3 linked regions of the Lepisosteus oculatus genome follow. The protein of the gene in region 3 interacts with the protein of the main gene of each other region in a biochemical or structural test. Links are inferred from orthologs where the notes say so. Each region holds a gene or a part of one and is shown on either strand. Other genes may lie near its edges. The genes, in order: BTB/POZ domain-containing protein kctd15, cited2 and tfap2a.

Evidence for each region.
Region 1: the proteins of tfap2a (region 3) and BTB/POZ domain-containing protein kctd15 form a complex in vitro, tested with the Homo sapiens proteins (2 studies listed by BioGRID, with this or other methods). The link is inferred for Lepisosteus oculatus from reciprocal best matches to the Homo sapiens genes TFAP2A and KCTD15.
Region 2: the proteins of tfap2a (region 3) and cited2 form a complex in vitro, tested with the Homo sapiens proteins (2 studies listed by BioGRID, with this or other methods). The link is inferred for Lepisosteus oculatus from reciprocal best matches to the Homo sapiens genes TFAP2A and CITED2.

Annotation. Positions count from the first base shown.
Region 1 is NC_090715.1:15,300,591-15,311,462, forward strand, and holds the start of BTB/POZ domain-containing protein kctd15, read right to left. Parts: upstream 5,198-10,872; 5' UTR 5,033-5,197; coding exon 4,943-5,032; intron 1,400-4,942; coding exon 1,224-1,399; intron 1-1,223. UniProt on the Homo sapiens protein: During embryonic development, it is involved in neural crest formation. Inhibits AP2 transcriptional activity by interaction with its activation domain.
Region 2 is NC_090697.1:20,216,292-20,227,054, reverse strand, and holds cited2 (cbp/p300-interacting transactivator 2), read right to left. Parts: upstream 4,066-10,763; 5' UTR 3,753-4,065; intron 3,280-3,752; exon of another isoform or gene 3,277-3,279; 5' UTR 3,271-3,276; coding exon 2,551-3,270; 3' UTR 732-2,550; downstream 1-731. UniProt on the Homo sapiens protein: Transcriptional coactivator of the p300/CBP-mediated transcription complex. Acts as a bridge, linking TFAP2 transcription factors and the p300/CBP transcriptional coactivator complex in order to stimulate TFAP2-mediated transcriptional activation.
Region 3 is NC_090701.1:3,959,079-3,969,493, forward strand, and holds the start of tfap2a (transcription factor AP-2-alpha), read right to left. Parts: upstream 4,086-10,415; 5' UTR 3,701-4,085; coding exon 3,536-3,700; intron 3,494-3,535; exon of another isoform or gene 2,863-3,493; coding exon of another isoform or gene 2,836-2,862; intron 1,977-2,835; coding exon 1,557-1,976; intron 109-1,556; coding exon 57-108; intron 1-56.

The sequences.
Region 1 (10,872 bases), on a different chromosome or scaffold from region 3:
CAGTACACATATCAAATCAGTGTCTATTCTTTAAAAATGATTTTAATAATCTTCACGTCAGAGAAGGAAAATACTTACAGATAGCTCTACAGGAGACGTTTATGTCGATAATATTATTGCAGACGCTCGATTAAATGGTTCGCTTGCTCCTGCCCATATGCGATACACACTATTAGTAATGAGGTTCTAAAATAAGAACATCACCTCGACAACTTTCTAAAATACAGTAGTGCAGAGTTTGGTCTTCCTTCAGTTCTAGGAACTGACGCGTACAAATCCCATGACATTTACAGTATTTAGGGCTTCACACGAATAGAAAATACGATTATTGCTTAAGACATATAGAGCTGCTTGTTCTTTAATTATACTATTCACGGTTATCTTAAACATGGTTACCCTTAAAGAACTATTTGATTGACTCATTTTCTTAAACTTCTCCATGCATTTTCTTTAGCTAGCCACCCGGTATTGCTTTCTTACGCCTATTCAATTTGTGATAACTGAGGAATCTCGTTCAAGTGTGAGTCAAGCGCTCCGAACTCCTGAAGAGAACACAGGCAAACGTCAACATACTGTATGTAAATCACTCATCTGATTTAATCACCCGTTTTCCGTCAAATGGTGATGATTGTTTCTTGTGCTCTTTCACTTTATATTTTAAGTGGTGAAAAAGTGTACTTCTACACAAAACATTGTGGATGAAAATAAGCAGAACGTGTACTAAAGTAGATTAACAGTAAGAGGGTAAACTATCATTTTGGAAGCTGAAGGATAAAGGGATGGCGCGTTATAAGGTGATCTTAATACGTTTGACAAGTTGCGACAGTGAAAGTCGGACCTTTCTTGTCTCAGACGCTTAACTTGAAAACGCAAATTATTGTTGACGCCTTTACGGACAATAAAGGTAGGCCTATGAGTCCACTTTATTATAGAACAGATTCATGCAACCCCAGCTATTTTGAGTTAGTAATGTGCTGATATGGGTACTTTTATCAGCACACTGAAAATAAAGAAGAGCAACACCAGCAAAAGGCACTCGCGTGAAGATAACTGCCTATAAATGAAGCTTAAGGTTCCCGAGAAGAAACGTTGTATGAACTGTCACAGGGATAATACCAGCTACAGCAGATCCATAGATAGGCTGACGATGACCATGCATTTAAATACGTCATTCCCGCAGACCAGAGCGGTAGGGGAATCAGAGGAGAGAAGCAGAGTCTTACCTAGAGTCCGGGTATTTGGTGAGAGTTGCCAGACTGCTCGTATACATGTGTCCTCCAACATCGATGTGAACCGGGGCGTTCGCTTTCGTCAGCTGAGCCGGTAACGGGATTCCCTGAGCGGCCAGAGGAGACACTGGAGACCGGGTCAAAGACAAGCGTGACATGCTTCGTCCTTCCTGTGTACAAGCCAATGTTCAAAAAAGGGAAGAGGGGAGGGGTGTTGGGGGGGGAGAGAAAGCAAAGAGATTAATGAGGCGCGTTTCGAGAATGACAGTATCTCGTACCTTTAGAGCAAGTGCGATCTTGGCTCTTATCAGATCACTTCTACATCTGCCTGATCGCATATTTAGCTTACAAATTATTGCCACAACTCTAATTAAGTGTATTTGCATCCTTTTCCTCGGATTACCGGAGGGAAGAATGGAAGGTTGCTTATTAGCGATCAAGAAAGAAAAATGCTAGGTGTCAGCCTCCAGGGAGATAAAACAAACTGCAAAATTCTAATTAAAGGTCGTGGGCTTATGTGTTAGACGTGAAATATCCCCTGACAAACGAATAACCAATTTGTGAATTGGGATTCGGGGGCTTTTTGCAAGTTTGTCTCAGTAACTAGACACCTCGAAATTAACGACTTCCTTATCTCCAAAGGCGGACTCAATAATGGTGTTTGTCTCACAAAATGTCCCAAAATATTTTTAAAAAGCAAATGTTGACCAAGATATGTCATTTCTTAAAACTCGATTAGGAACCAATTCTTCAAAAATAGCAGTAACCTGAAATTAGCAGACAACGCAATAATTCAAGGAAAAAATAAGCATTAATAATAAAATATATTAATGAATGACGAAGATGTCTCTCTTCGCATGTTGAATCTACTAGGCAAAAGATCCCTGAAAGATGTTTCTTTTCATTGCTAAATACTCAGAAAAGTTCAGCTGTACATGAAATAGATTATCCACGTGCTCCCTATTGCATTGATGAACCAAAGTCTACGCTGTTTCAGATATGGCCACACTGTCAAAATGCCATTTTAATTAGCCTATATCTCATTCTCAGCACACTGGCTTGTGGTTTGCTAGCAAGTCAAACATACGTTTAACGCCTGTAGTTCAGTTCTTCTGCAAAGGAAAACGTTTGCTGTGCTACATAAGAAATGAACTGCGACTGGTGGGGGTTAATTGAAACGAGAGTTTAAGGAAAGCGAGGTACGAGGTTCGCGTCAGCCTGTCCTGCACAGCTCGGCTCGGAAAGCAGGTTGAAAGATGCAGCAGGACGAGAAAAGCCGCAGCGCAGGTCGATAACCTTTCATCGACTCTGGGCAAAACTTGAATCACTTTTTGCCCCGCGAGTTATAAACGAATAACGAAATATCACAGAATACGGATATAGTCGTCCCCACTTTTATATCGAAGATGCGCTGGGCGGCGTGACAATGTCGTGTAAATATCCGTCACCTCTAACGTCTGTCAGTCTGACCCGGTGCGTGAACCGAGCGCCAGTCGCAACACCCCCCTGTGCGCTTCTTGGAGCCTGACACCATCACACACGGGACTTCACCCCAGATGAGGAGTCACCAGCTGCTTCACTGACTACACGGGGAAGGGCGATCAAAATGGCTCTTTTCTTAGCGCCCCTTTTAACGCGTTGATAACATGTTTCACGTCCACACGGAAACTTTTCTACTGATGTTTTGTTTTTAATACATCGCGTTGAAGAACGCGTTACCCCCCAGTATCGTCTTTTTTCCTCACGTCAGTCAGAACTTTGCGCAGCCCTCGCCCCCTCCACGTGTGGATAGGTCGTTTCGGGTAATACTTTACCTTTAATACACGCTTTATTTTATTTTTTTGTGGGGGGTTCCCCAAATCAGATGGCCAAGGTCTTAACGCGCTAATTGCGCATATCGAGAGTGTTGTCAGAACTATTACCCATGTTGCGCTGAAATTAACGTCTCGGGATGCGACGCTCATTTGCGCACAAAATCATTTTCTTCCCTATTGTGCTCGCAGTTGTTCAGTTTTGGAGAGGTGATTAAACGAGCTATGTTACCGCAGCTTGAGAGTGATTTCACCGAATCGTTCCTCCGTGAAGCCGCTCATTTGCTAGGCTGTTATTTTAACCATAAAAGGTAAACAGAAGGCTGTTGTTAGCGCTCCATTCAGCGTTTTTGCCCACGGCAAGATGCCCGGGGCAGAGAATGCAGAAAGACTACAGAATTTTCCAGGGTGTTGCCTGCCTCGCAACACACGAAGCCTACAGGAATACTGTTCATTTAATACACACTCTGGATGATACATTTCACATCCCAGTGAAAGAAAGACTTCAAAAGACTTAAGAACTTTTGGGCGTATGAAGCTATCCCACCTCTTCATATAGCCACGGGCCATGGTAACCAATACTGATATTAATGTTGGGGGAATAAGCCTGATACAAAAGTATATACACACACACACCAACTGAGAGAGAGAGAAAAAAAACAGGAAAGACGGAGAGAGGAGGGAGGGAGGGGCTGAGGAGGTGAAGGGTTAGGTGAAAATAGAGCAAGACAGCCAGAGGGGTCGAAATGGATAAAAAAAAGATGAAAAATTCAAAAATGAATGGGGCTAAATAAGGCTATTAAACAGCCCTAGATGTAAACTATAAATCACGAATGAGTGTACCGGAGAAAATAAAGCAGAGTCCTGCTCACACTTTTGGAACACACATTATTTATTTATCTCCACGCTCGGTCTAAAGTGTTCTCAGGAGTCCCCAGACAAAAATAAACATCCGAACTCGAAAAGGACCATTGACTCGTCTTTAATGAGATCAGCACTAACATCTGTTCCCTGACGGTCTGTATTATCGGTTTCTCATTGACTAAATGCTTGAAGTATTCTCGGGTTATTTACCATCAGACACTCTGTAACCGGTAATGAAAGAAATGATCGCCTTTTTATGACTGACACGAGAGGCCGCCGAAGTCAATTTTGTAGGCAACACGTTAAGGACTGTAGGCTGCTCAGGAAACGTGATTTAAAAAAAAAAACGCCACCTAAAAGTTTGATTTTGCAACACAACCGCTTGTGTTGATCGATCTTAACTTTTGAACAGAAACACCACACGTTGCGTGAGCGGTTCTACGACGCGGAGGTTGTATTAAAATAATAAGAACAGAAAAGAAATCGACTTTATTATTAAGAGCTTCTGCTTATCGAAGTTTTATTTTCGACCAGCTGTGCTGCTGCGTACCTTTGAGGAAAACGTACATTACACGTAAAAGTTTATGTTCGCCCACCAAAAATTAAAACAATAGCGAAACACGGCTTCCACAATTTTATTACCCCTGAACATACATTTGTGCCCAAGGGGGGAATACTGCCAATTTCACAATATGGCGTCTTTTTCACATACCAACATATCAGAAAAGATGTTTTTGATACGACGGAACGTTTTTGAAAATATACATTATACTGTTTTCATATTCCATATATATTACTTTAAATTCAGACGTGTCGGTGATTCGGCATGGTGTTTCGTTCGGGATGCACAACACGATATTTACCAGCCAGGATCCTCAGCAGCCTGTTCGAAAATTCATTCTCACTGGCGCCTGGCTAACATTGCATACAGACAGGGAGTGAGCTACATGCATCTCCTTGATTCATAAATTAAAAACAGATCACCCCGTGAAACAGGGAGCCGAGCTTTCTATACGTGCATTATTCAGCCGTGTGTACCGTTTCAAACGTTTTAGGAAAGTCCGAAGCAATTCCGAGCCAGATTTCATCCGTCCACCAGGAGAACTGTATTATCTCTTTCCGTAACATTTCCTCCAAGTTTCATAAAACTAAGTACTTCAGCATTCCTCGAGTTTCATGCCCATTCTTTCGCAGAGACAAGCCCCCAAAAACCTCCAAAAACCAAGGAAAGTAGCTCTGATGCATTGTTATAAAAAGGGTCACTGTAGCTTTAAAGATCTAGAGTGTCGACTAGACTAGTTGAGATCAGGCACTTTGAAAACAGCAACACAGGAAGCAAGCAGCGTCCTTACCTTGAACATAGACGAAATCTCTTCTTCCCTTTTTTCCGCTCTTATTTCTAGACTTTTAATATCAGACGGCTGGCCCCAGCTGCGATTTTTTTAGCTTCTTGTCCTTCTTTTTGCTAAAATGAAACTGCCGGGCTGTTATGAGAAGAAGAAAGCCAATATAATCCGTCTCTAAATAACAGAGGAGAGCTAAAAAGAATTCTTGCTCTAGGCTTTCCAAACGCCTCTGGGGCAAGGATTAGGCTACAATTAGCTCAACCCTACTCGCGCCCTAGCTAAATTCAAGATGAAAATTTGATATTTTTCCTCCTTTCCCCAAGATGCCGGTGAAGATTAGACCGAGTCATTTGGTATTTTTCCTCCTTTTCCCCCAAAATATAAATAAATAAATCCTTATAACGGTTTTTAAGTTCTGGTTTGCTGGGGGATAACGGTTTAATGTTAAGTATCAGGCCACTGTCACGTCGCTCGATAGACTTACTGAAGAAAAAAGCAGATTTTAATCATTGTCATTTCGTCTGATGTAATATTTCCCCAGGCATTTTCAACTAGGCATAAATTTTCAGTTCCCAAATAAGTAACGCAGGGCACGTTTCTCTCATCTCTTGCACTTATAGAGCGATTATGGAAGCGCTGTGTAACTTGTTGATAAAGTATCTATATAAGAAATGCTGATGTTGAATATGCAGATCTCTATAAACAGTTTCCATGCGGCTGTTTTTTCTTTCCTTTCTCGCTTGCTAATGTCTCGTATTGTAACGCCAAATTTCCTGTAGGCCATTAAAACCAAATGACGTCTATCGACATGCATTCTGCTATTACAAAAAGCGCCCTCACAACCTGCCTCCAGCGAAACGCGCCATTTCAATTATAGCACACGGCTAGATGGAGATGTCTGCCGTGAAGACTTCCTATACAAGCGAGCAGAAAGGCAGGCTGCTAGCTCAAAGAGCAACCAGATTTTCTACCCTGAGATTCATTCTGTTGAAGTAAAATTGAAACACACAGACACACACACAAACGATGCACTAATGCGTTTAAATACGAAACACTAATAGATCAACCTTTTAATACACGAGAACATTTATTAACGCGCTGTCTACAACACTGAACTGTACAAAAATCTCATCGTTCCCCCCCTCCCTTCTCCACTTTACAGGTGCTTACATAGGCTAGCTGTTTATTTATTTATTTGTCTGTTTGTTTATTTGCGTGTAAATAGTTCTAAATAATGAATGTTGCATTGAGCCTTATAATTACAGTATTCCCAAATCCTTCCCTTGCATTCCCGCTCTCGGTGTTTGTTTCTTGATGTCTGGCGCCTACTAGTGTCCGAAAGGACGCACGGCCACTCTAGAAAGAGGAAGATCAAGGTTAAGAGCTGAAGGTAGCGATGGATTAATTTGAAGTGCGCTTTGAAATCGATCTTTCGCCCTGTGCGAGAGTCGCCTTTCCCCCGATAAAGACGGGCAGTAAGAAACACATCGGGCAGATACCATCTTTCACCCGCTTCGCATTCGCCTTCCTCTTACTCTTCCGGACAGGGCAAGACGTGGGAAATTGGGGAAAAAGCGACCCTCCGATCCCAGATACACCCGAGACAACTGCGCACTCCCGGATCCCCTCATCCCTCCACTCCTTGGCATAGAGCAAGGAACCTTTTCCCCTCGGGGCGAAATTTTGTTGTGTCTTCTGGAGTACAAACTACAAGGAAGACAGGAAAAAAATTCTCATTAAAGTAACAACCCCGCAGTTAGTTCAATTACACGAAGTATGCAGAAGATGTTGTAAATTTAAAGATTTAAATAGCTTACAAAGTTGCCCCGGGCCCCATCAGTTAATTTCCTTAATTTATGGATTTTAGCTGAGTGTCTGAAGTGAAGAGGAGACGGAGAAGTAGGTCAGCCCAGAGATTTGCATGCAACATAGACCAAATATTGGGTATTCTTGACCAGTTTCAAGCGCAGGTAGGAACGCTGGTGACACGTTAACCGCACACCAGCTGTTCTGCTAATTTTGCGTGGTGATCACTGAGCGGGTTTTACTTAACAGAGGGGAAAGGCTGAGAGATATATATTTTGAAATATACAGTGCAGACGAATAGGTTTCACATAATCTAATATTTGTACATTCCAGTTGTGCATCAAGAATGTAGACTGTGTAAGCCCAAGATTTTGAAACACAAGTGAAATCTGTGATCTATGTATTAGATCAATTTACTACAAACCTTAGAGTCAACCGAAACGTACCCAAGACAAGTACAGCTTCGTCAGATAGGCTACTGGAAATGTGTCTATTGGGTTATTTGTTTCAGGAAAGAGAATAAGTTAGTTTAACTAGACGAAATTTACTTTCGTAAGATTCACATTTTACTAGAATTTAGCCCGGGGCAATGTTCAGCGTTATCATCATTTTTCGTGAATTCTTTCCAAAATGATACCTTTATAATACTTTACAAAGTAATTTATCGTACTATGTGAGATGCTTAATAACTATTGATCAATAAACGATATATTCATGAGAAAACGAAAAATATCCACAGAATTTGGGTAGTCTTTTGCACCTGCAGAATAGCACAATTGCCGTACCGTACATTTTACGACGGATTGTGTTGCGTTTTGTTGGAATTGTTTAAAGATTTAGTTGTGTTAATTATATTTATCCGAAGAGAATATTAAACTGTAAGCTTATTTAATTTTGTAGTGTTTCTAAAAAAAATAAATAGAAGCCTGCTATTAACTACACCTTGTTGAAATCAAAGGCCTCAGAACACGTTCAGCCAGGTATTTTCGTCAGGTCGGCTATCCCTTACGAAGGCGAACCAAGCCGATACGATTATTAAAATATATAAACGTTTTGAATGCAATCATTCGAGTAGCCTTCCAAATATTAACAGACCAAACACACTTCGATCCCAACGGCAAATATTTCCACGGTCATTTGTAAGGTTAGTGTCTTTACGCGGAGACGTACACACGGCATATTTGTAGTTAAAATTATGGGATAAGTACTGATGACCGTGTTGTTGATGATTATGATGATGATGATGATGATGATAACACTATCAAAGTACAGAATTGTCTTCCTAATACATATTAGATTATTATTCCATTAAAAGAAAGTCACTGGTGCCACTCTGAAGAAAGAATCAATCAACATTCGGGAGGCCTGTTAGAGGGAACATGTATGCAAATGAGATGTATGCATTAATGTATGACCCTATAAGAATAATAAGTTTGCCCCAAGGTTCCGAAGCAGGTGTCATTAACAGCGATTCTAAAAGCGTCATGGGACGCGACTGAAAGCCGGTGCTGTTCTATTTTCGTCATTTCATCTCTTTTCTGAGCAGCGCCCTTTTGTTGTTGTTGTTGTTGTTGTTGTGCTTGATTGTTTGTATTATCAACCTAAGCCTCAGATAACGGCAAAATGTATAAGCCGGCGTCTTAAAAGAAGTTATGAATAAAACAAAACATGTATATTAAACCACGGTATCGCTAGCGATTACACAAAAACAAAATAGTGAGATTACTACTAGACCATCAGAATTTTGATCGGTACGCATTTTTCTTTCTTGTGTTATTAGTCTTTTTTAAGTTTTATGTATAAGCTTTATAAAGAGTCTGGGAAAGTATCTGCAAAGATTTAACCAATCCAATCTGTCTAATTATGAACTGTATGCGGCACTGGACAAGCTAGGAGGTGGAGCTACACCCTGCACAGAGCATGCAGGGACGACTAGGAGACACCGGCCAGCCTGGCCAGCATGTGTCTGGCAGGGGGGAGGAAGCTAGAGCACCTGGGGAAAGCCATGTGATCACTGAGAGAACATGCAAACTCCACACAGAGGGTAGCACGGCTGTGAGGCAGCAGCACGGACCTCCATGCCTTCATGCCCAAATCAGAATATAACAGGTATCTCCACCCCTGGTCCCGGAGAGCCTCAAACCTGCAAAGAAAAAGGACATTCCATTATCTCAGACTCTAAATGTGTGCCTTGAACTATCTGAACTAGAGAGCTAGGAACCATAGTCCCGAAGGACTGGTTTTTAAACCACAGGTTCAACAGACAATCTTTCTGTGCATTTTCAGGACGTTCAGTTTTCTGGTGAAATCTCAACACTCACTGAGGCATACTGTCTGGCTCCTTGAGGTGAAGATGGTTGTTAACTGAAGAAAACATTTATTCTTCAAAAATAATAGTTCTTCAAGCATTCATTCTTCATACAGTATACATATATGGGAAACAAGAGCATGGGAAACTAGTCATCTACCCTTTTTTGACCAATTTGGAAACATTTCAAACTTCATCTCTCTGTGACTAAAATACAAGTCAACAAAGTCAACTGGACTGATTTCACAGACTGTTCAAACTCCTGTTTCCAAGATCTGAAGCTCTTGAAAAACCACTTAATGACATATAGCTGTATGGATCTTAGTAGATGATGAATCCAAGGATCTCAGCTTGCCCTGATCTCAGTTTTAAATGTACGTCCATATCGTTTCCACTCAAGTCCACTTGTCCATATTCCACTGCTGATTCTGAAGAAGCCCACAGAGTTGACGTTGAATAACTGGATCTTCTTGTCATCTGCTCTGATGCTCATTTTATTTTAGCCTGTCAGTGTAGGATATTCTTCTAAAACCCGGGTTTATCTGGTTGCTGTCCTGTGGACAGATTTCAGAGCAGTGATATCCTTCCCATAATATGTGTTGACCACACTTTTTCACAGTATTTTGAATGAGGTCTTACTAGTGCACTGTGTAATTATGGCATAAGATCCCTTGATTTAAATTCTACACTTTTAACTAGATTACTTTTTATTATTTCCCCCACCTTGTATTAAATAGAAATGATATGTCAACATGAGCACTTTTTTGTTGTCTTTTTTGTAAGTACCCTCTACAAGCTCATTGGTTCACGCTAGGTATCTAGGTATTCATTGTGGCAGATCAGCAGTAATTAGGACAGTAATTTTAGCGGACCTGCCACTAGATGGCGTAAAGGTCTGTATTGCTGGTATACAGGTTCACATATGTGGTTTATTAATTGATTAATTAGATACTTAGTGAAGAGGCAAGATGCACATTTTCACATGGGATTAATTGAGACTAGTTTATGATATAAAAGGACTCACAAGGGGCAGGGGTCTTGATTTGGTTTTAAATTATGTCTTTGTTTATTTTCTTCTTTTAGGTTCAGGGTATCCTGGAATAAACCAAACCAAACCAAATCAAGTGTTCGGTCTTTTACAATCTGAAAGCATCTGGTAAAAAAAAGTGCACAAATTAAAGTGCTCAAAGAAACTTCATTGTAAGTACACTTCAGTTCCGAGGTAGAGAGTCCTTGACATTAATCAATTCATTCCTGTTACCTTCTTTATCTGTAAATAACCTTTGTCACACAAGACCTCCCTCTGCTGGATATTTAAAAAAATAACTTGCTACAGACACTATTTTCTGTACAGTATCTTGTCCAGGATTCCATTAAATGCTCCCGTGGGAAGCCTCAAGCCTTGAGCTTTATTGGATCAAATCCTTTTCTCTGGAAAGGTGAGGTGACCAGACTGCCTGACCCTGTCGCTGGTACTGTATTTCTCGTGCTCGTTACAAGAACAGGGA
Region 2 (10,763 bases), on a different chromosome or scaffold from region 3:
TTCACATTTACTGCGTAAATGTATGCAAAGTAGTTAGGATGGAATATCCCTGTGGAGACAAACACTGCTAAAACAAATCAATTTGCATCTTTTTCTACTCTGATGCTGCAGAACAAGATTCTCTACTCTTTGCCATTTAGTGAGTCAGCATCTAAACTGACAGTAGAAAACTGAGTTGTTTGTATTCCAGAACAAATTTGGTGTATAATAATAAAATTGTAACAATATTAAATTAATTCACTGACTGCGGTGTTTTAAAATTAGAAACCTTTAGAGAGAAATAGTTTCATCTATGTATTGTATGTAGACACTCAAACCCCAGTTAAATAATAGCTGTTTCTGAAAATCAACACATACCTTGATTCAGGGGGGGAAAAAAAGTGTTTACCTGTTTTTGTTTTATGGATTGCTTTCATAAAGTTGTTTATAATGTAAACTTTGATAACTGAACATTTTGAGACTATTCTAGAGCACACTATGCTCTTTATGACAATTGTATTAGGATGTAGTTTTGGAAAGTAATCTATAAAACATTCTGTAGAGTTTAAAGCATTGGTTTCAACAAAATTATAGCTTATTAGATCTAATGTGTATATTTGTCTTTGCGCTATTGAACAACTTACATCACATTGTGTTGTACTTATAAAAAGTAAGATTTATTATAAAATATAAAGTAAAATTCTAGCTTATGTGCTAAATGTAACAGAAAGAAATGACTCTTTACAGCCAGCCAGAATGTCTACATTTTATTTCTGTTTTTATAGTTTATTTGAACCCATTAAGACATAATTTTAAAGAAAGCTATTGCTTTGTAATTCATATTATCTGTTGAACTTCATGGTTCATCACGCTTTGTCAATAAGGAAGACTTTCTCAATACATTCGGACATGTTTATGGGCAATCCAGATGGGTTAAGTTAGTCATTTTACAAACTTCAACAATTTTCCACTGACTTCTCATGGACAATTTGTTCTTATACATTATGTGTACAAAAGGTTGTAAATTTATTGGTGTTTATGTGTAAAAGTACCTCAAATTTGTTGTATATTGTGAAACTGTACAGAACAGTGTCCAATGGAAAACCCTGAAGAAAATGCCACTTAAGAAATGCGCAAGATATTAGACTGTGTCCAATACTCAACAGTCAAACAAAGGACTGTATTGCATTTTGTTTACCATAGCGTGTTCTTTACCAAGTTAAAGAAAATAAGGATTTCATTACAAATGTTGTTTTTGTATTTTGCCTGAATGTAAGTCTACCAGCCCAAATCATTCTTTACCAGCGGATTTTAACCTATAAAGCTAAATGAAAAAACGCAATTACACATTTTCTTTTCAGAATACATTTTATCTGCTTTTATTTATGTTTGCAAATTAAAATATAATAAATTAACATTTTCTTCTAAAAAAAATTTGTACAAAAATACTGTCAAACTTTCCTAGAAAGCTTCAACACAGTAGTATTGCCTTGTACCGCATAAACTAAATAAGCACAGTGGTGGAAATTTTGATAACCAAAGATGCAAAATAAAAAGGGAAAAAAACACCTCTGTAAAATGTTCTTCCTTAACTTGTCAACATTCCACATCATTTTATTGTCTCTTCACATAAAAGAGTGGGGGAGGGTGGCACATTTTTAAGAAAGAGTATCCTTTTCCATGGCCTGACAAGTCTCTTCTTACTCCCTTAAAGACACAGTATCCATTTAGGCTTTACACTGACTCTTCTAACCTTAACATTTGGCAATTCAAATTATTTAAACTTCCACAGAAATTCAGGAACTGAAAAATTAAAATTCAGGGCACCGACATCAGTGATTCTAGTTCAGCATCAAAGCAACAGGACATTTTGCAAACTAGTTTGTGTGCAAAAAGCATTATCTTGCAATTTTCTCCCTTGATAATCAGACAGATCATTTAACAGCACAAATATCTGATAAATATATGGCCACTAAATTGTACAGTATATTACTGTCTTTAACAAATACACAGTACCTGCCTACAAGCATGTTTAATAATCACATAATTTAGTATATGCTTCATTTAAATTTATATTACTTTAACACCTCTATAAAAATGTTTAAACAAACGCAGGAAAATAAATATTTGACCTACCACAGCATTTTTTAAGATTTCGTTTATTCTTTGCACAAAGCAATTGTGCAGTTAACTACGAAGCTACCCGCTTGCTTTTGGGTCTTCTGTGCTACCTTCTTCATTTTTCCAAGTACAAAGTTGAATTAACTCATAATGCATAGCATGAACTTGGAAACAAACCAGAAAAGTCCCTTGCAATGGTAGTGCACTCACAAGTCATACCTCTCTCCTTGGAAGAAATGATGATCCATAGCACAGACCTCTAAATTTTAGAGGCTTAAATCAGTAAAAATACGTAATTCAGCAGAACTCTTAATCCACCCTGAATATTTAGATTAATTGGAATTCCAGACTGATGCCATTTGATACACAGGTTAAAGAAATCATGTTAAAAAGGAATGTATAAATGTCTTTCTGAGGAAAACAAAAGTAAGACGAGTCCTTATGGTGAGACTAACAGCTCACTCTGCTTGGTTGCTGTTTGCAAACAAAGTCTGTCATGAAATCAAACTCATTTTGTCCCAGCCACAGCTCTGGCAGTTCCTTTATTCGGTCCAATCCCATTTCTATGACTAAAGACATCAAGACCTCCTCATCAATAAAATCCGTGTCTATGACATTGGGGGGCAGTATTGCTGCAGGCACATGGTGCGCTGGGGGAGGCATACTGGAGGTGCTATGTTTTGGGTTGCAGTCTCTGAATTGCTGTCCTGTCCCGTTCATCTGGTGGTTTGACGAATGTAGGTCTGACATATAGTGATGATGAGAGGGGTGAGGGTGATGGGTGTAATACTGCGTGTTGAGCTTTTGCAATTGCATGCTTGCTGCTAGCTGTCCTTGAGTGCTCACGGCGGGTCCCACATATTGCGAGCTGTATCGTGCAGAAGGGGCCAGGCTGCTGTTAGGGTGGACACCAGTCACATTTCCGGGTCCCATAGAGTGTCTAACGCCGTGGTTAGAGTTCACATTTCCCCCTCCGTAGTGCAAATGTTCACCCATTAACCCGTTGTACCCATGCTGCTGCTGCTGCGGCGGCGGCTGCTGCTGCTGCTGATGGTGAAGAGGGTTAGAAAACTGTCCCATCGCCATCCTGCGTGTGGGATGGTGAGGGTGAATGCCGTTTGCAGATTCGCTGAATCTTCCGTGGTTCATGGACATCATGCGGTCAGCCATTCCTTCCTTCTATGACACATAAAAGCGAAGTTTTAAAATGATGCACAAAATCCGAGGACTACTCTCGTCACATGCACAACATTAACTTCCAACTCGTTCCCATTGTCACTGTCATTCTCATTAAACCTAACTCCGCAGCACATGTGAATTGCTCTGATAAAAGACTGGCATAGTCTTGAGGTTAATGTGAAGGTGCTGCCTTTCAGGCATTCGTGTAATCCATATATTCTTTAATAATAACAACTCCGAATTGAAGACACGCTGTCAGAATTGTTTACCCAACCTTAACTCATTTGCTAACAAGGGCAAAAAGAAACGGAAATAATTTGCAATCATTAGACGTGCACAAAAAATATAAAAGCACGTAAGTTACCTACAGATATTTTTTAACAAAAAACGATACAGTCACGAAACAACTCTTCTATTAAGCTAGTTTTTACTGAGAATATAACCCCAGGGATTTGAAACTGTATAGTTCTTACCTCAAGGGCTGTACCTTTTTACTTCGTTTCCCCCGTTTTACTGTCCGCACGATATGATAAAGTACACCGATTTCAGTTACTGCACGGAATCTGTATTCCAAGTCATAGAGCCCAGCAAAGCTTTCAGATATAGACACACGCTCCCAACCTCTGTCCAACAAATGAGAATTGCTCAAATCGCCTGTGGTCACTGCTGATATACAATCATACAGGGGCGGAGCCACGGCAAACCTTGAAACTGACGAGGGAAAAATCTGGATGCAGGATCCTGTAAAAACATGGAATAGTCTCACGCTTCTGTCTACTGCGTTAAGCAGAGTTTATTTAGCAACATTACCTAATGGCATCTTAATTTCTGTTGTTTATGGTGAAAAAGGCAAAGTGGCACAACTGATTAAAATACACTGAATCCAAGTTTTTCTTATCGATATTTGATTTTTACTAGAATGTTACTTATACCTTACTCACTCATTAAATGCAAATCAGGAAAAAAAACATACATTAAGATAACTGCCAAATGCGTTTCTGCTAAATTATGCTAGCGATTGCTTAAAGGTGCAAAAAATTTATGTAGAAAATTTACACGCTACAATGTATTAATATGCCATGATTACTATATATTTTAAGAGGTCAACATGCAAACGAAGAAGACGTACACACTTTGAACATCTGAAACAAAGCACTAAGCACCGGAAAGGCTGAGCTGAGCTGTTAGAAAACATATCGTCAACAACATTAACACAAGTATAACTGAGCTGACATGAGCCACGACTGAGGAGAGCCAAATTTAACATTATAAAGAGCCCTTCACTAACACCCTCTCTGCAGGACATTTCTCAGCTCCGCGTTTTGTATGCAGCCTATTCCTTTTGCAGACGTGCGCTCTCTCGAGTTGACAGTGTTCAGCTCCCGTAGCTTTGGCATCTGAGCTGGAGCAATATAGGCGTTTCTTCTCACAAATGCTCCCAGCTTCACCCTAGAGGTGGCTACTGACTTACACCAGTATATTCCCGTAGCTGGTCCACAGGGTGCGAGCTCGGCTTCCCTTTACATGCCCTCTATGGGGCTTGCCGAGGCCTGATCAGGCTTGTGATTAACCGAGTCACTTTGGAAATACATTAACTGTGGGAACACCTATTTAAAATCACAATGCTAAGACAGAGTGATGGCTGCAAGAAGGACTTACACTGGAAAAAAAGCCAAAACATGCATGGAATTTATTATCACTGATTATCTCTTACACTGTAAACTTTTTACTGTAAATTTTATTCTTTACTCAGCAGTTTATTAGGTGACCCCCGCATTGTTTTAATACACCATTTCGTGGCGGTAATGTTGACGGTGATTAATAAGTACATCTTATATCCCTTGGAGAGACACTCTACGCCTTAATCAACAGTGGCAAATCGGATGAAAGGGGACCTTATTGACCCTCCAGGAAGGTAGTTGATTATCCTGGAATGCACTTTACTAACCCACCTATGGACGGTTTCCTCTGTGACCTTTTACCCCGTATTGGCTTGCTTAAAGGCATAAAATATGTGTACGTGATAACACGTCAAGAGTAGGGTAATAACATCAGTAAAGGCTAAACGTGTACTGATCACTGTAACGATCAATCGTTTGCAAATAACTGCACTACAGCATACGATTAACAGTGGTACAACACGTGTACAGTAAGTAGCGCGAAAATAATTGCAGGACATTTCAGACATAACGGTTCACTTTAGTGGAGGCTCCCATTGAGCTTAATCAATAATAATCTGATCCTTTGGCTTTCATTTGGAAGATGTTGAAGAGGTACATTTGTGGCGATTATTTTATCCTTCTAAAAAAAAGAAACATTGTTAAAAGTGTTACTTGACCCTATGAACTGAAAAGATAGGGTTAAGTAACACTTTTAACAATGTTTTCCCCTGCAGACGTGAGGTGCGGAATGTACCCACAGCGGAGAACAAACAGCGTGTCTGCATGTTCTGAACACTCAAGTGCTGAGTTGGACAGTATGAGAGAGGGAGGGGTGTACCGGGGTAGACAGGCTTTAGTAGCTACTGATTTGCATTAAAATATAGTACACAAATTGGTAGAGAGCAGTGAATTTTCTATTAAGAATAATCTGGTAATTCTTTTACCGAAGATAAATTATAGTTTATGTATTTTGTTATTCTCTCTTTTAGTCACATGGGTTAAAATGTAAATAAAAACGTAAAGATGTTTTTTCAAAGGGTAAATAAAAAAAAATCAAATTTACCTCCAGATTCTGCTTTATTAGACACAAGAGACAAGTTATTAAATTTCAAATCTGGAAGTTGTAGTAGATAGATCAGACTTTATTGATCCTAAAGGGAAATTGAGGTGTTACAGCAGCCCAGCCCAAGACAAGCAAAAACAGTCATAAGAATAGACTACAAATTATAATAAGTACAGTAATACAAAATAAAATAGATTTAGGTGTGTGCAAAATATGCTAATAGTAACTGTAAAACAATAAAATATGTGCAAAATGTGCGTAGGTATATACAGATTGAAAGTACCACAGCATAAACAGTATATTAATGCAGTGTCCAAAAAGTACATTAGTGCAACATGCTGTCCATAGATGAGCAGATGAAGGGCTAACAGCCCTAGGCTAGGGCAGTGATATACACCTTGAAAGCCGCCGGGAGGAAGGACCTACGGAAACGTTCCCTTGAACACCATAGCTGGAGCAGTCTTTTACTAAAAGTGCTCCGCTGTTTCTACTAACAGTCTCATGTAGCGGATGAGAGCCGTTGTTCATGATGGCTGTGAGCTTGGTCAGCATTCTCCTCTCAGCCACCACCTCCAGCGTGTCAAGGCTCAGCCCCAAAGTAGAGCCAGCCAAAGCTGAGCCAGTTTATGGAGTCTATTTTCATCTCTTGCCATGATGCTGCTGCTGCCCCAGCACACAACAGCGTAGATTTGAAGAGGGGTGCTTCCACCACTGATTCATAAACAATGTATAGCAGTGAGTGGTTTAGGGGTTTATTTACACACTGCAAGGTCATAGTAGATGAATTATTGAACTTCTAAGTATATTTTTAGGTGTGGAAAATATAATACAATTTTAACAAAGGGGAATTAAGTCAGGATACGCAGTTCAAGGCAGTCAAGTTTGCAGGTATATCACCCTTAAACTCACAACTGGCAACCTACTGAAGCTAGGCAGGTGTGAGCCTGGCCAGTACCTGAATGGGAGACCCCCTGGAAAAGCTAAGTTTATTTGTTGCTGGAAAAGGTGTTAGTAGGACCAGTAGGGAGTGCTAACTCTGTGGTCTGTGTGGGTCCTAATGCCCTAGTATGGTGAAGCAGACAATATGCTGTATAAAAAGGCATATTCGAATGACACATAAAACCGAGGTCCTGACTCTCTGTACTTGTTAAAAATTTAAGGGTGTTTCTCGAAAAGAGTAGGGGTGTTACCCTTGTGTCCTGGCCAAATTTCCCCTTGGCCTTTACCAGGCATGGCCTCCTAATAATCCCCATTGATTAATTGGCTTAATTACTCTGCTCTCCTCCCCACTGATAGCTGATGTTTGCCTGCCATCGCATCATCCAGGTGGGTGGTGATGGAGAGGAGTTCCCATTACCTGTAAAGTGCTTTGAGTGGAGAGTCCAGAAAAGCTTTATGTAAGTGTATATATAACAAACTGACTTGGTTTCAGTAACATGCTTATGCTTTCTTCTGCTGCTAGTTTATTAAAAAGTAACTGTGGTTGCAGAGTACCTCAAATTTGCAAAAGATCTGGATCTGGATGTAAAGTATGCTGGTATCCCTTTGAGAAACTGCCCATTAGAGGTGTAATGCATGAAAATCTTGTAAGGAAGTGTAGAAGAGTTACACAAATGTAGAGAAATAGAAACACTAAAATTAATTAGCCTACAGTATATCAAGCTGTTGATTAACCTTATAATTTTTAATTTTTATTGTATCCTTTATATGTTTAGTAGTAATGGTGATTAAAGATGTAGTAGTTATTGTTGCCTGAGCTCATTAGTAAAATCCTTTTCAGCAACAATGACGGAAAAAAGTTTTTTTTGTGTGAAAATGAAAGTGGAAATAAGCTAGCAAGAAGAAGCCTGAAAGTTGTCAAAGTGTTTCAGAGGGAACGATTTGTGAATTGTCTGTGGAACCCCGGTGAGTTGAAAATTGAAAAGAATAAATTGTGGCTGTACATTGCACAAAATGAGTATCTGCGATGAAGTAAATTCATTTGATTTTCCCTGTTCTTGGTGTGTTTTTGTTGGTGTTTCAATTCACTTTGTTTGCATAAAACCACAACCAATCTGATTTATAAGTAGCAATTTTAAAAAGTGAAAAGAAAAATAAGGAGATATTGACATGGTGGGATGAAATTCTGCATCTGACAATGTTATGCTGTTTTGTGTTGATAAGAAGAGTGAAACACCTGTTTGTGGTTGTTGACTTTGACTTGAAGGCAGCATTCTTACCACTTAGCTGTGATGGAAGACCTCTAAGGAAAACCATGTTGCAGCTGCAAGTGGTGTGGGTGGACCAGTAGGAGGTGCCATTGTTTAGAAGATGCATTACATTGCAATCTCCTAACTACTTGGGACGTACAGTTCCATGACACTTTTCCTAAAAGTAGGTATGTTAGTCCTGGTGTCCTGGTTAAATTGAGCTCTGCGCATGAACAATCAGGCTTCCCTAAAATTCTCCCTTAATTCAACTGGTAATACAGCTCCATTTTATGTCACTTTACTACATCTTCCCTAATAAATTTCTTACTTCTCCACCTAAACCACTATGTAGTGGGGTTGCTAGCACAAAATGGCTGCCATGTGTCACCCAGGTGAGAGCTGCACTTCACTTGTGGGTCCTTTCTTATATGTCAAGGGCTTAGGGATTCTTTGGAATAAAAAGTACTATACAAATGGAAGCCCTCACAGTTGTTATACAATCATCAGTTAGCTACTAGTAACAAATACCACAAGCCGAATAGCAGCCTCTTGTTTGTAACCTTTCTCATGTTCCCTTATTCTAATGACAAAGTAAACCCATGCAACAGCATTTGAAGTGAAATAAAAAACAAAGGGCATAAATGGAAATATGTGTTTAAGACTGAGAACAGGAGAAAAGTTTTTACACAAAGGGATGTTAAGGGTCTGAAACGTGTTGCATTGCAGAAGTTATGGGCACTGTTGAAAAAAGTCTGAGAAGAAGAAATACATTGTTTTGTAGCCCTTTTGCAATCATTGAAGGAAGAAGAACGAATAGCAAGGACATTTAGTGACTATACAATGCTGCTTCAAATAATGTAGGAAATCTTTCTTTGTATTCATTTCTTTTTTAAACTTATTTATATGAACGTTAAGTGAATAGGCTTGAAAGGAATTTTTGTTCTGAACTGTTACACAATGCCTTTTATGTATAGAATACTGTAATCATTATTTAATGTACTTCTGGTGTTCTAAAGTTGCCATATTTGTTTCTTCATATATTTTTTTTTATTTGATTGTTGTCCAATGAATTTTGATTTTGATTATAGTATGCTTAAACATTGTTTCTCTCAATTAAAAGTATTTGGAATAGCACTAAGAAAAAAGCGTTTGTGTCTTTTTTGCTAGGAACACTGATGCAGAGGTTATTATCTTCCATAGACTCACTCCTGTGATTTGGGCTCAAAACATTGGCTGTCATAATGGAATGATCTAAGTTACTTTAGTCATGGTTCCAATCATTCTACTGGGGTTTCAGTTTTGATCGATAGATTGAATCAATATCTTCCCAAGAAGAAAGGTGGATTTTGTTAGTTATAGCGGTAAATATTACAGTGTTTGTATTTGTAATATTTACAGTTAAAATTCATGTCTTATATAATAATAGAATCTTATGTAATTACTTTGCTGCCAAATTCCTAGTTTTACAAAATGATTATAATAAAGCTTATATAATAGTTTTCAGAGGCTATTAATGCAACTTCCAATGATTTAGACAGATTCCCACATAAAAATACTCCCAATTTTTCAGACCCCAAAGCAAAAGAATATACTTGCTACTGTAAAATTTGAACTTCTGGTTCAAAGTCCTGGATTGATTTCTGTCTCGTTCTCCCTGCTATGTAAAGTATTCAGACAGCAATGTCAAAACTGTTCCATTTGTGTCATTTGGATCGTGTTTCACTGCTGAATCTAAAGAAGTGGATGAGGACTTTGTGTTTTTTTCCCCCTAACAGTCGCTTAGTCTAACAAATTAGGACAGTCCTTTGAGCCCAGAGCAGCAATAGAATCTTCATAAAGTACTGAGACAGCAAAATCAAAAGAGTTATTTTTGTTTACAGTCGAGTGATTTTATTTGTGATCATGAGATTAATCTAAATGTTTAATAAAACATAATTTGTGTTTTATTTCCATGTACTATTTGTTTTAAGCAACTCCATTCATATGTCTGATTATTCAGGGATATAGGTAATTTACCATTTCGTTCTAAATTTCCTTCTAAATGACTAAAGATTTAATGGCAATATTAAAAATTTAGTAGAGCAAGAATTCAATGATAAGAGCACTGGTAATATACATGTATGAGAGTATTTTAGTTTTCAAGCCAGAAAATTTGCTATTCAATGTGGAAAAGAAATTCAAATATTCCAGAAGAATAAAGAATTTGGATTTATGAATAACTTTAATTTAGCACTCATTGTTTAATTAATTAAGGAATTAGTATGAAGTAACTGTCATGAGCACTACCCAGTGACAATTAGGTCAAAGGCTAAGCAAAACACATAATATTTAGAATTAAACCAAGGTGTATTTGAACGGGGAGGCATTGTATTACAGTGGTTAGCATTGCTGCCTTACATTACTGGAGCCCTGGGTTCACGTCTAGGCCTGGGGTGTTATCTGCATGGACTTTTTATGTTCTCCCTGTGTTCACATGGGTTTCCTATTAGTGCTCTGGTTTCTTCCCACTGTCCAAAAACATTCCGGTAGATTAATTGACTTCTGGAGAAATTGACCCTGATGTGAGTGTTT
Region 3 (10,415 bases):
CTCAGCGTACAACAGCTTGTAGAAACATGTAAGGTATTTTGAAGGAAATTACTTACCTTTCTTAATTACAGTTTGGTCTGGGATGTTAATGCCTTGATCTTCAACATGCTGCAACATAATTACAGAAGAAAAACAACGTTAGAAGAAACAAGGAGGCAAAAATGAAATTCAACAGCAGTTGCTGGTATGAACTGTCTTATTCAACGAAATGTCGTTTCCTCTAGCTTGGTTTCAGTGCAGCCGGAAAGTAAAATGATATAAAAGCACCAAACAAACAAACAAAAAAAAGATAATAAAAATGAGATTATCTGAAATCCCCTAAAATTCCTGTTGTTTTCAAGTAGTTTTTCCTTACCTACATCAAGACATTTCCAAGTACATATTTTATACATTTTCATCAGAATGGGCTGCGCCTTTTTTAATTTAAAATTAAAATGGCCAAAGGATATTCTGAATAGCCGTGTTTACAAACTGGTAAGCATATTTACCAATATCTGATGATTTTTTTTTTAGTCTTGTGATGTAGCGCTTAGCCTACATTCCACAGGAACGGGATGTGCCTGTAATTTCGTGATGTGTGACAGACAACTGTTTCTACGCTTCACTCTTCTCGGAATTTCTGCTCTGGTCCTTGTGACTACTCTCACACAGTCCTGGCGGATCAAAGTTGTTTTATTACTGATATCATTGTGCCCTCTGCTCTCATCTGCAGATCGCGTGCTCCTGAACGAGCAAGATTCAACTGAGAATAAAGCAGTGTGCAGGATCGCCGGTAAAAGGCAGAAGCGCGAAATTGTCACATGCAAAACACCATCAGGTTTCAATTCGTTCAAACCCCAAAAAAAAAATCCTTGATGCCCGTTTGTTTGTTTTTTTTTCCTCCAAAGAGGACACGATGATAATTCTGCCAGACTCCGGCAATGAAGTGGAAGGCGAAATACTGAATAAGAGCAGCGATATGTTAACCGGTATTTGTTCAGGATATAGATTACAGCGAACCGACCCCAGAAATAAACGCATTTTTGCACTATGAATACAATGTTTCCTAACAGATTTTTTTTATAGAAAAAGAAGAATACCCTAAAAGAAGACTGAACAATTATTATAATGCGGCTATCTCTATTATGAACCTTTTTTGTAGAAATGAAAAGTCGATGCGAGGATCTATTTTCCCACTTCAACAATGGAACTACATTTCGTGCAAATAAAATATTTCATAGTTTCACGCCGGCATGGACTGCATCCCCCCAAAAAAAACCCAACAAAACAGGCTTTTTTGTTTTGTCGTAAAATAAGGTTTCCCCCTTTTCTCGTTTCCTGCACACCTTTTATTTGTACAGTGAGATAACACGAGAGAGGATGATGCAGGAGATGCGTCTCAAAAGACTTTCGAGAAGCAGAGCAGATCTATCCTAGACCGCTGCTGGCCCACCTGCGACTGGATAGGAGCTCAAAAAAAAAAATGATAACGATTCGGGTGCGATTGATATCTGCAGATATTCTGGCTCTGCTCTCGGGGAGTTCTGTCAAACTCCCGCGGCGTGGGGCCGTCTTACCTGCACGTCTTCTAAAGAATGAGGTATTCCGTGGATGGGGATAGAGTCCGTCAGTCCAGAATCTAGTCCGTGACCCCCCGGTAGGAGGACTTCTCTCCGGTACTCTCTACACAGCTGATGGGGCAGCCCGCGGTGCTGATGCAGCAGGCTGCTCTCCTGGCTCTGTCTCTGCCCCGGCCAGCCCGGGTGCTGTGGCTGAGGCTGGGCGTGCAGTGGGTTCAGGGAGTAGTGGTCGTTGACGTGCGAGTAAGGGTCCTGAGACTGGGGGTAGATCGGCTGGTACGGTGGGGGGAAATACGGAGGCTGGAAGTCGGAGTTGGGGGTGTGGGAGAGCGGCGGGGCGCTGGTGTAAGGCGACTGACCCACGCTCCCCAGCTGGGGTAGCCGCGCCGTCCCATTGCCGGTCCCGTCGTGACGATCCTGGAAGGAGACAGCGGTTAGAAACACGTTTTTGCGGGTTTTTGTCTTTCCTCCCTGTTCTTTCTTGCGCGATAAAGTACACCTCGACGGTCGTTTCTGGAACGAATGTCAATTGATAAAATTGCAGGAAAAAAAGAGAGAGAGAGAGGGGCTGAAAATAGAGAAAGACAGATTTCAGGTGCCTAACGTCCTGATTTGTTTTGACATTTTTGAAAAGCTGGATATTTTGGGCTGGTTATAGTGTATGAAAGACCTTTAAATTTCTCTTTTCCCCATATTAGAATATATACCCTATATAACACTAAAATATTTATATATCACGATTGGCAGATCACTCCTGAATATGAGATAGGCTTTGCATAGATTTTATGGTCCCAGCGTTTTTCTGCTATTTTATTACTATTATTACCAGGCGTAGTAGTTACAGTCATAACAACACTACACTAAATAATCATCATAATCATAATAATAATAATACAAATAAAAAGATTGCAACAAATATCAGCAGAAGTGCGTGCGAAATTGCACTTTACAAATAAGCAAATAATATTTCTATATTTTTCTAAAAAAATCTTAAGTATTTTCTTTACAAAGGGGACGAGGCACTTCGAAACTGCCAAATACTGTATGAGAAAAGTAACAATTTCGATAGATCGGTTTTCTAAACAATTCTACAACCATTCGTAAATGCTAAAATGCGGTGAAGACGTTCGGAGAAAAAAAATCAGTTTCATTACAAAACACAATAATACAAAAGTTTTTTTTTAAAAAGCGAGGCTAAATTCTAAAAAAAAAGAGCCAACAAAAGGAGTCTAAATGCCAAACGAAGTCTTGGGATATATTCTTTAATGCAACTCACCATCGCTGAAAAACTGTGCACTAACATCTGCGAAGCGGTTCGAACAATTCAAGGTGTAAGAATTTCAGAAAAATACGAGATAAAGCAGTAAAAATAAATAGAACAAACAAAATAAGCCCAGATCAACACTACTGCAAGATCACAGCGCCAATGTTCATATATGCACCTCCGAAGCACAATAATCCATCAGAATTTGGTTAAATTCCTGCCGCCCTTCATTTGGGTTAGAAATGCAGTATTTTGTTTCCCTGCAGATTATTATTTAAAGTTTTCTTATATCCTTCTTCTGTCTTCCCGCTCTATCACTGAGCTGCTGCCTCACTTGAGCTCATATTAGCAGAGATCTGGTTCCTCTCTTGGATCCCTAATAGCAGATATTCATGACTATTAATATTACACGAATACTTAATAAGGGAAGAATGGTCGGAAATCGAGCGTGAAGCGAGGAAGCAACTCAAGGCAGAGTCTGTACTAAATGACGTCCATTGAATGAAGAATCAGTGTATCTAATCAGAGATGGAGAGAGAGAGAGAGGGGGAGAGAGAGGGAGAGAGACAAAAAGAGGGGACATTCTCTCGCGTCTGACGAATCACAGAGAAGGGGGAACATTTTAAAAGGTTCGAGGGCAAGCAAAAGTGAAAGAAATACAGAATGAGGGGAGAAAACAGGGAGAGAGGAAGAGGCAGGGAACAATGAGCACCTCTGAGTCTTGCGAAAATCCGGTAAATGCTAAGGGCACCTCGACTGGCACATTTTTAGTGCTTGGAGAGCGGCCGCCTGCGCTCTCTGTCCCCTTGGTTTTGAGATCAGCTTCAGACGGTCCGCGCCCTGTTGTTCTCCGGGCTTCACTGATGGATTCATCCATGGCTAGCCGCGTTGAAAACCAAACACGCCGGCACTGCTACAGATTTAGGCTCGGAGTTTAAAAACGCTCCGCAGATCTCGTTCGTCTCGGCTCACTTTTGCAACAACAACAACAGCCAAAAAAAAAAAAAGTCCACTCCCTTCCGAGCCTACTTGCGCGCTAGAAACGCTTGAACCGACTTGAAAAACACAGTCCGACAAACAGGTCTGCCTTTGAAAACACCGTTTACACAGCTTTTCGTCGAAAAAAGATCGAACTATTTCCCCGACAAAAAGAGAAAAAAACAGAATCCAAGCTGGGTAAAAGTGAAACCATCCAACATTTGTTTCTTCCAGCTCCTGGCGTATCGCGTCTTCTAGGCTCTAGCGTAAACCCGTTTGACTGGCTGTACAACTCCTAAACAACTCCCAAATATTACATACTAAACTTTCCGTATCTGCTGACTGAATAGGGTTGTAATAACAGTCACTTAGACCTTACTGCTCACACAAAAACGCCACTCGTTAAAACTACAGCGATAATCCTGCGCTGGAAACGAAACAAAATAGGATTTAATTCAGCCGAGATGGACTTTGGAAATGGGAATAGCTTTTGTGTTTAAATAAACATTTTCAGTTTCAGTTGAGATGGCTATTCTTCATAATTTTTATTATATAAAGAAACCAAAATGCCCGACAGAAAATCGCATGAGTGTTTAAAAATAAGGCAAAACGTGCAACATTTTATTCGACCGAGAAAATGCCATATAAATGACTGAAATACGTTTTTCAAATGTTTGGGGAATTCGGAAATTTACGATGAAATTAAATTATTTTTGAACTGTTTTTCGAATCAGTGAATCTTCGTGTTTAACTTCGGGATCGTTCAAATCACACATTCAGACATAAACTCAAGCCGGAGTGGAAGTCAAGAATTAATTTCTTGTTGTTATTAAACACCACTTCTTAATAGCTCTTGAAAATGATAATAATAATTGTAGACTCGTTTTGTTTAAAAGTTGTAAATAAAACATAAAATTCAACTAATTTGCTTCAACACAGTGTACACGAGAACGTTATGATCAATGTAATGACAACACATTCTTGATCAAGACGGATTTTTAATAGTTTTATAACGCTTCACATTTAACCAAAATATAAATGCTTCTTTATATATAGTCTGTTTCTGTTGTGTGCATATACAGTATATACCCGCAAACATACACAATCTTTTTTTCCATTTACAGAAGCCGGGATACGTGCGAAGTAAGATTATGATATCTAATTTTGTTTTGAACACAATTTCCCCAAAATGTGTTTTATACAAGAAACCTTGAAGTTTCTAACTAAACGCCAAACACAGTTAAACAAACACACACACGCCAAGAAACACGAACTCTTCTTATCTGCCAATAATACAAGCGTAATGTACTCAGTTTTTTGGAAGGATGAAGAAATATATATATATATATCACAATAAACGACCTCTTACCTCACAGTCTTCGTATTTAATATTATCCGTTAATTTCCAAAGCATTTTCATGGGTTGTATTAAGAGTTAAGATGGGGTTTTCCTTGTTTCACAAAGTAAATGCTGCTGCACAGCTGAAATTATTTGATACTCGAGCTCCTTGTCAGCGCTCAGAGATCTCCCTCTAATGGCCAATGTTAAGAGTCCAAGCTTCAGTCCTATAATAACCCGCGTTCCGTCATTACCATATCAACAACAGCTCGATTCTCACCCAGACGTCTCCAGTGGACACAGGTAGAACTCGGGCAAGATTCTCAAATCGAATTCAATCAAGTTAAAAAAAGTCCCCCTGCATCTTGATTCGTTTGTTCCGTCACCAATTATACAATTGCTTTTTTTTTTTAAAAAAAGGCTCTGGACTACATATTTAGCTATTTGTATCTGTATGCTATCCGCGTTAATAAAGATGAAGGCATTTTAAAGACAAAATAGCGGAATCTCTCATTGGGGGGTATTTTCTATGCTTATACATTGGTAAACAGGCTTATATTTAACATAAATGATAGGTTTACTTCGAGTTTTTCGTAGTTCTAAGTATGGAATATAGTGTTCATATTTCTCCTTTTTCCTTTTTTGTTATCTATGGGAGTTCGTTCAGAAACAACAGCCGAAAGCAAATTAAAGTACGGAAAGATAAATATAGTAAGGGGTCTTTGCCCTTTCTAAGACGCATACATTGATCAGTATGAGAGTTAAAACACTCGAACCATCGCCCATGAGATCAGGGAAGCCAAAGTCAATGATCGTGCGCGTATGTAAGGTTTTTAAGACGTTTTTCACGTTATTTTCTTCAGAGAGTGTGCCAACAGCAGCCTGAGCGAAACAAAAACACGAGATGTTGTCCCCTTTCAGACTACATGCCTGAATATTCTTCTCTTCTTTAAATGACAAGAGAGTTGTTTTAGTCCTATTGAGGGTCAGGAATTAAGAAGCAACTTTCTCAGTGTCATGCAAAACAAGGAGACTATGTTAAAGTCGACACATAGGGTTGGAGTTTTAACTTCGAGACATTTGAAGTTTTTTTTTGTTTTTAGATCATTTACACAACAAAATGGATTGTTCTAAATTTGAAAGCAGAACTGCGAATCACGGGTTCAGCTAAACGCATCTGTAGCAACACCCTGTGTTGTATACGCAGAAACAGGTAGTTAAGACTAAGGCGTTGACCCTAATAATCTTTATTACCATTTTTGGCGGAGCAGTATCTAAACTTCAAAACCTGTTGTCATTAATGAAGGGATGACAATACTACAGTGGTAAGGCCGCAATTAAGTAACCATGTGTTGGAAGAGGGGCGGGGGTGGGAGAAGGCTTGTTTTAATCTTTAAGTTAAAATTAAACTGTCACGAACAAGTGTTTTAAATAAACCACGACTGACTGTGATCAACTGTGTATGTGGCGGAGAATGGGACAAAGCCGCCAAAAGCCGCAGAAACATATATAGATCCGTACATAACATTACATGCCACACCGTGATGCCAACTCCTAAAATGCAAGGTATGGTGCAAACAGATATTGAATTAAAAAGCACATTCATTTTATCCGACATGCCCGATTGTCTTCACAAATTAAAACTAGCAGTATCGTTCGACACTATTCCCAAATCCATTTTCATATTTCAAAGTACGAGTTTTCGGCGTTTTAGTTAGTATTCTTTTGCATTTTGAAGACTAGAATGTAAAGTTTTTCTTGTATGTTCCACAGTTCACGACTTTCAACTTGAAGTGTCGATTTTCTTCCATTTCTGACCCCGTTTCATAATACTGCTAGAACTGCGAAACCTCGTTCAAGATGTATTTGACATATGTATTTGAATTTAGATCTGAATTAAAAAAAAAAAACAGAAATATAACTCCAGAACTCATTGTTCACCCTTTTGTAAGCACGTTATTGGCTATTTTGTTTCCCAAAATTAAAACGGAAAACGTTTGCTTTTCATCACAAAGATTACCAGCCCACCAAAGAGACTATAGTTGTACCTTATTAATATGATTTTGCGTGACTGCACATGAAACGGGCCTACATTACAATTACTGGGCAACAATTTAGATATATACTATTAAATTCATGCACGTTTAAAACTAAATATTTGTTTTACTGTACTTGTCATGGTTTCATAATCTTTTTGACCAATTCACTTCAGCCGGAAGGCTAACTTCTTTGTGTGCAAATGAAGGGGTTTAGAAGGAAATTTAGACAGAAAACGGTTAAAACGTTTCGGTTTATTTTTGAAAGTGCGCTTTAACTGGTCCCGACCACACGTGAATTTACATCCCAGTGTTTTTGTTAGTGAAATCATAATACTGTGTCTGAAGACAGAGCATTTCACCTTCTCGAGCATCCAACAGAGCACATTCAAGAGAAGTTCATACGAATTCGAGTACATACGCAATCCGCAATCCTTTTGAATTAAAAAAAAAATCATTAACTTTGTATCTGCTGCACTGAGTCACGACTTGCCGCCTCCCCAACAGGAAAAAGCGAAAAATGGAAAGTTACTGAAAGATTGCTATAAGATATCAAGAAGAAAAGACAGTTGTTTTAGAGTATAGTCATCGTATATATATATAATATTTTGCTGACGCGCTGATGTATTCAGACAGTATTACACCTGTGCGCAACTATTCTCCAAGTGATCCGAAAGGCAATAACACCTACCTGCCAGTCTCCCATTTTTGCCATTACTGACATTATTTAGCCTTCTTATTCTATGTGGCGATCACGCAGCGTGGGATCTCCATGAACCTCTGATCTCAAAGACAATTTGTGCTTTCACCTGAACGGAAACATCTCACCTGGTCATAAAAAAAAAAGTTGGGTGCTACCTGGGTGGCGCATGCGCAGTCCGCCGGCCATGTAACACTTTTCCCCTCCCGAAGTATTAGAGAAAATATAACCAACTTTCTAGCTCGTCGGCCTCAAGGTCTCTGAACCACAACCGGTCACCTTAACGCAACTGCACTTTCGGGACCAGGGCAAAGGCAGATGTTGCCCACTTAGAAGACTCCGCAGTTCTGTCGGAGAGTGTAGTACGAGAAAAAGGGCCAAACCGCGTTCTCCCCAAATAATGAGGATTTCGGCCAATTAATTCACATGCGTGGTGTTTGTTTGTCAAGGGCACGCACGACAGAAGTGCAAAGCTTTTTTTGTTCTTCAGCGTTATACCTGCTGCTCGCGGTTTTATTTAGTTACGACTTGGTTTGGCAAATGGCTGCTTTCTCCCTTTTCCGTTTATTCCTTCAACAGCTGGATCTTTTTTTTAATAACCCGAAAAAAATGCGGCTTAAAGCTGAGTGTATTTGTTTAAAAAATACTCTTCCCAGAGAGTTTGGTGATATATTCGATTGGATTCTCCATCGATTTCAGTACTTTTGGATGCAATAATTACGACCACAATTCATTACATACATATAGCGCTTTTTATCCCTAAGAATCTCAAACCGATTATCTTGTTTTGTGGTGTGGTGGCGTGTTTTCACATATACTGAATTATTTAGTATTAACTAAATCTTTATTAACGAGAGAACAAAACTGTTTTTTTTTTACATAAAGGTTCATTTATATAAAGTATGATAGGCTCTAGACCTACACTCTGCACTTTCGGGCTTTGAAATCTTTGAACTCGACGTTGTTCGATGAAACTTAGATGTTACAACTATTGCTTTGAAAACCTGTACGAAATCGAAACTGTACAGTATCGGTGGCTTTATAAATGTCTTAATTTCTCAGACGTCCCGCGAAGCCATTATAATTTGAAACACTTTTAGGCAAAAAAAAAACTATTTCATTTAATGGAGTAGATGGCTTGTTGTTCTTTCTCCTGTTGCTTAGGAAGTTGAGAAAAATGTAAAAAATCGGGTTGTTGATAACAATTTGATAAGAAGATTTATCGACAAAAATGTACATCAGCTCATCGTGTGGGCGGGATGATGAAGTTTTTCAGCAGGCAATACGGGGACTTTCAAGGGGTCCGAATAAGATGGTGGGGTTGTTTGGGGAGATTTTCGTTTCTTAAAATGAATCTCCACAGGACACGATTTACTGGGACGTGCTAATTGCTGGGATGGATCGCAGTTCGCATCATAATCATTTGAAAAGAAGATTATTCGCTGCGTTCACATAGAGCGTTCTTACCCAAATAAAGCTCTGCACTTGCGCTGGATCAATAGCCGCTGTAGACACGTCTAGTGCACCGCGAGTTTACAAGACATTCCCGTACTCTGGAGCCCAGAGGGAGGCGCTTACTTAGCGTAATGAAGCATGAAACGGGCGATTCACACTTCACCGAAGTACACTCGAGTAACTTTATACATCTAGATTCGAATTACACATTCTAAAACAGCTGTAAAAAAACAACCTATGTTTCCATCAATCACGTCCGATCAATCCATGCGCAGACTGCGGGTGGGTCGCATCGCTTAAAATCTAAACCTAATGAATTGCTGCTAATGAAATGGGAGCAGTCGGCACTTCACAAAAGTCCGTCACTGTTATCGAACACATACATACATGTGCAGATCAAATGTTCATCATTTAAACATGACAGAAGAGAGACACACTATTGCATATGTTCAAAACCTGAAGTGAAAGTAAATATTAGCACTCTTATTGCTAATTTTTGGAAGTTTTCCATGTTTTGGTGAACATGGCGGTGTTGTTAGGTTTTGATCAAATATATTACTAAATAACCAATTTTATTTATGCCAGGAGTGGGTGAGTTTACTTGTTTTACAAACCGCCCCTTTGGAGTAGGTAGCGTTATAAATTCAAGCTAGAGCAACATAGTGAAACGGACCGCTTAATACCCAAGCTCTTGAAAACGACCATATACTGATACGCTATAATTTACACACCAAAGATCATTATTTTCTAACCGTGGTGCCGGCTTTTGTGCAAGTGTGGGCGCGCCTAAGCTGTTACAACTGACTTCACTTTTCTGTACAACTGATGCGAAAGGAAAGCAGCAGGCTGGGCTCGGAAGACGGCATTAAAAGTTATGTGGTATGTGAGAACAGACGTTATGAGGAACAGTGTGCTTGAAAGCGATCTGGTAGGCAGTGGAATTTTAATCCGCCCCGAAGTGAAACAATGAAACCCATACTGAAAAATGCTACAAATCTTATAGCGATCTTTGAATGGAGTATCTTGATACCTCAATGACAAACCATCTTGTCAAAGCCTTGCTTTCAAAGCAACCCTCAAGGCT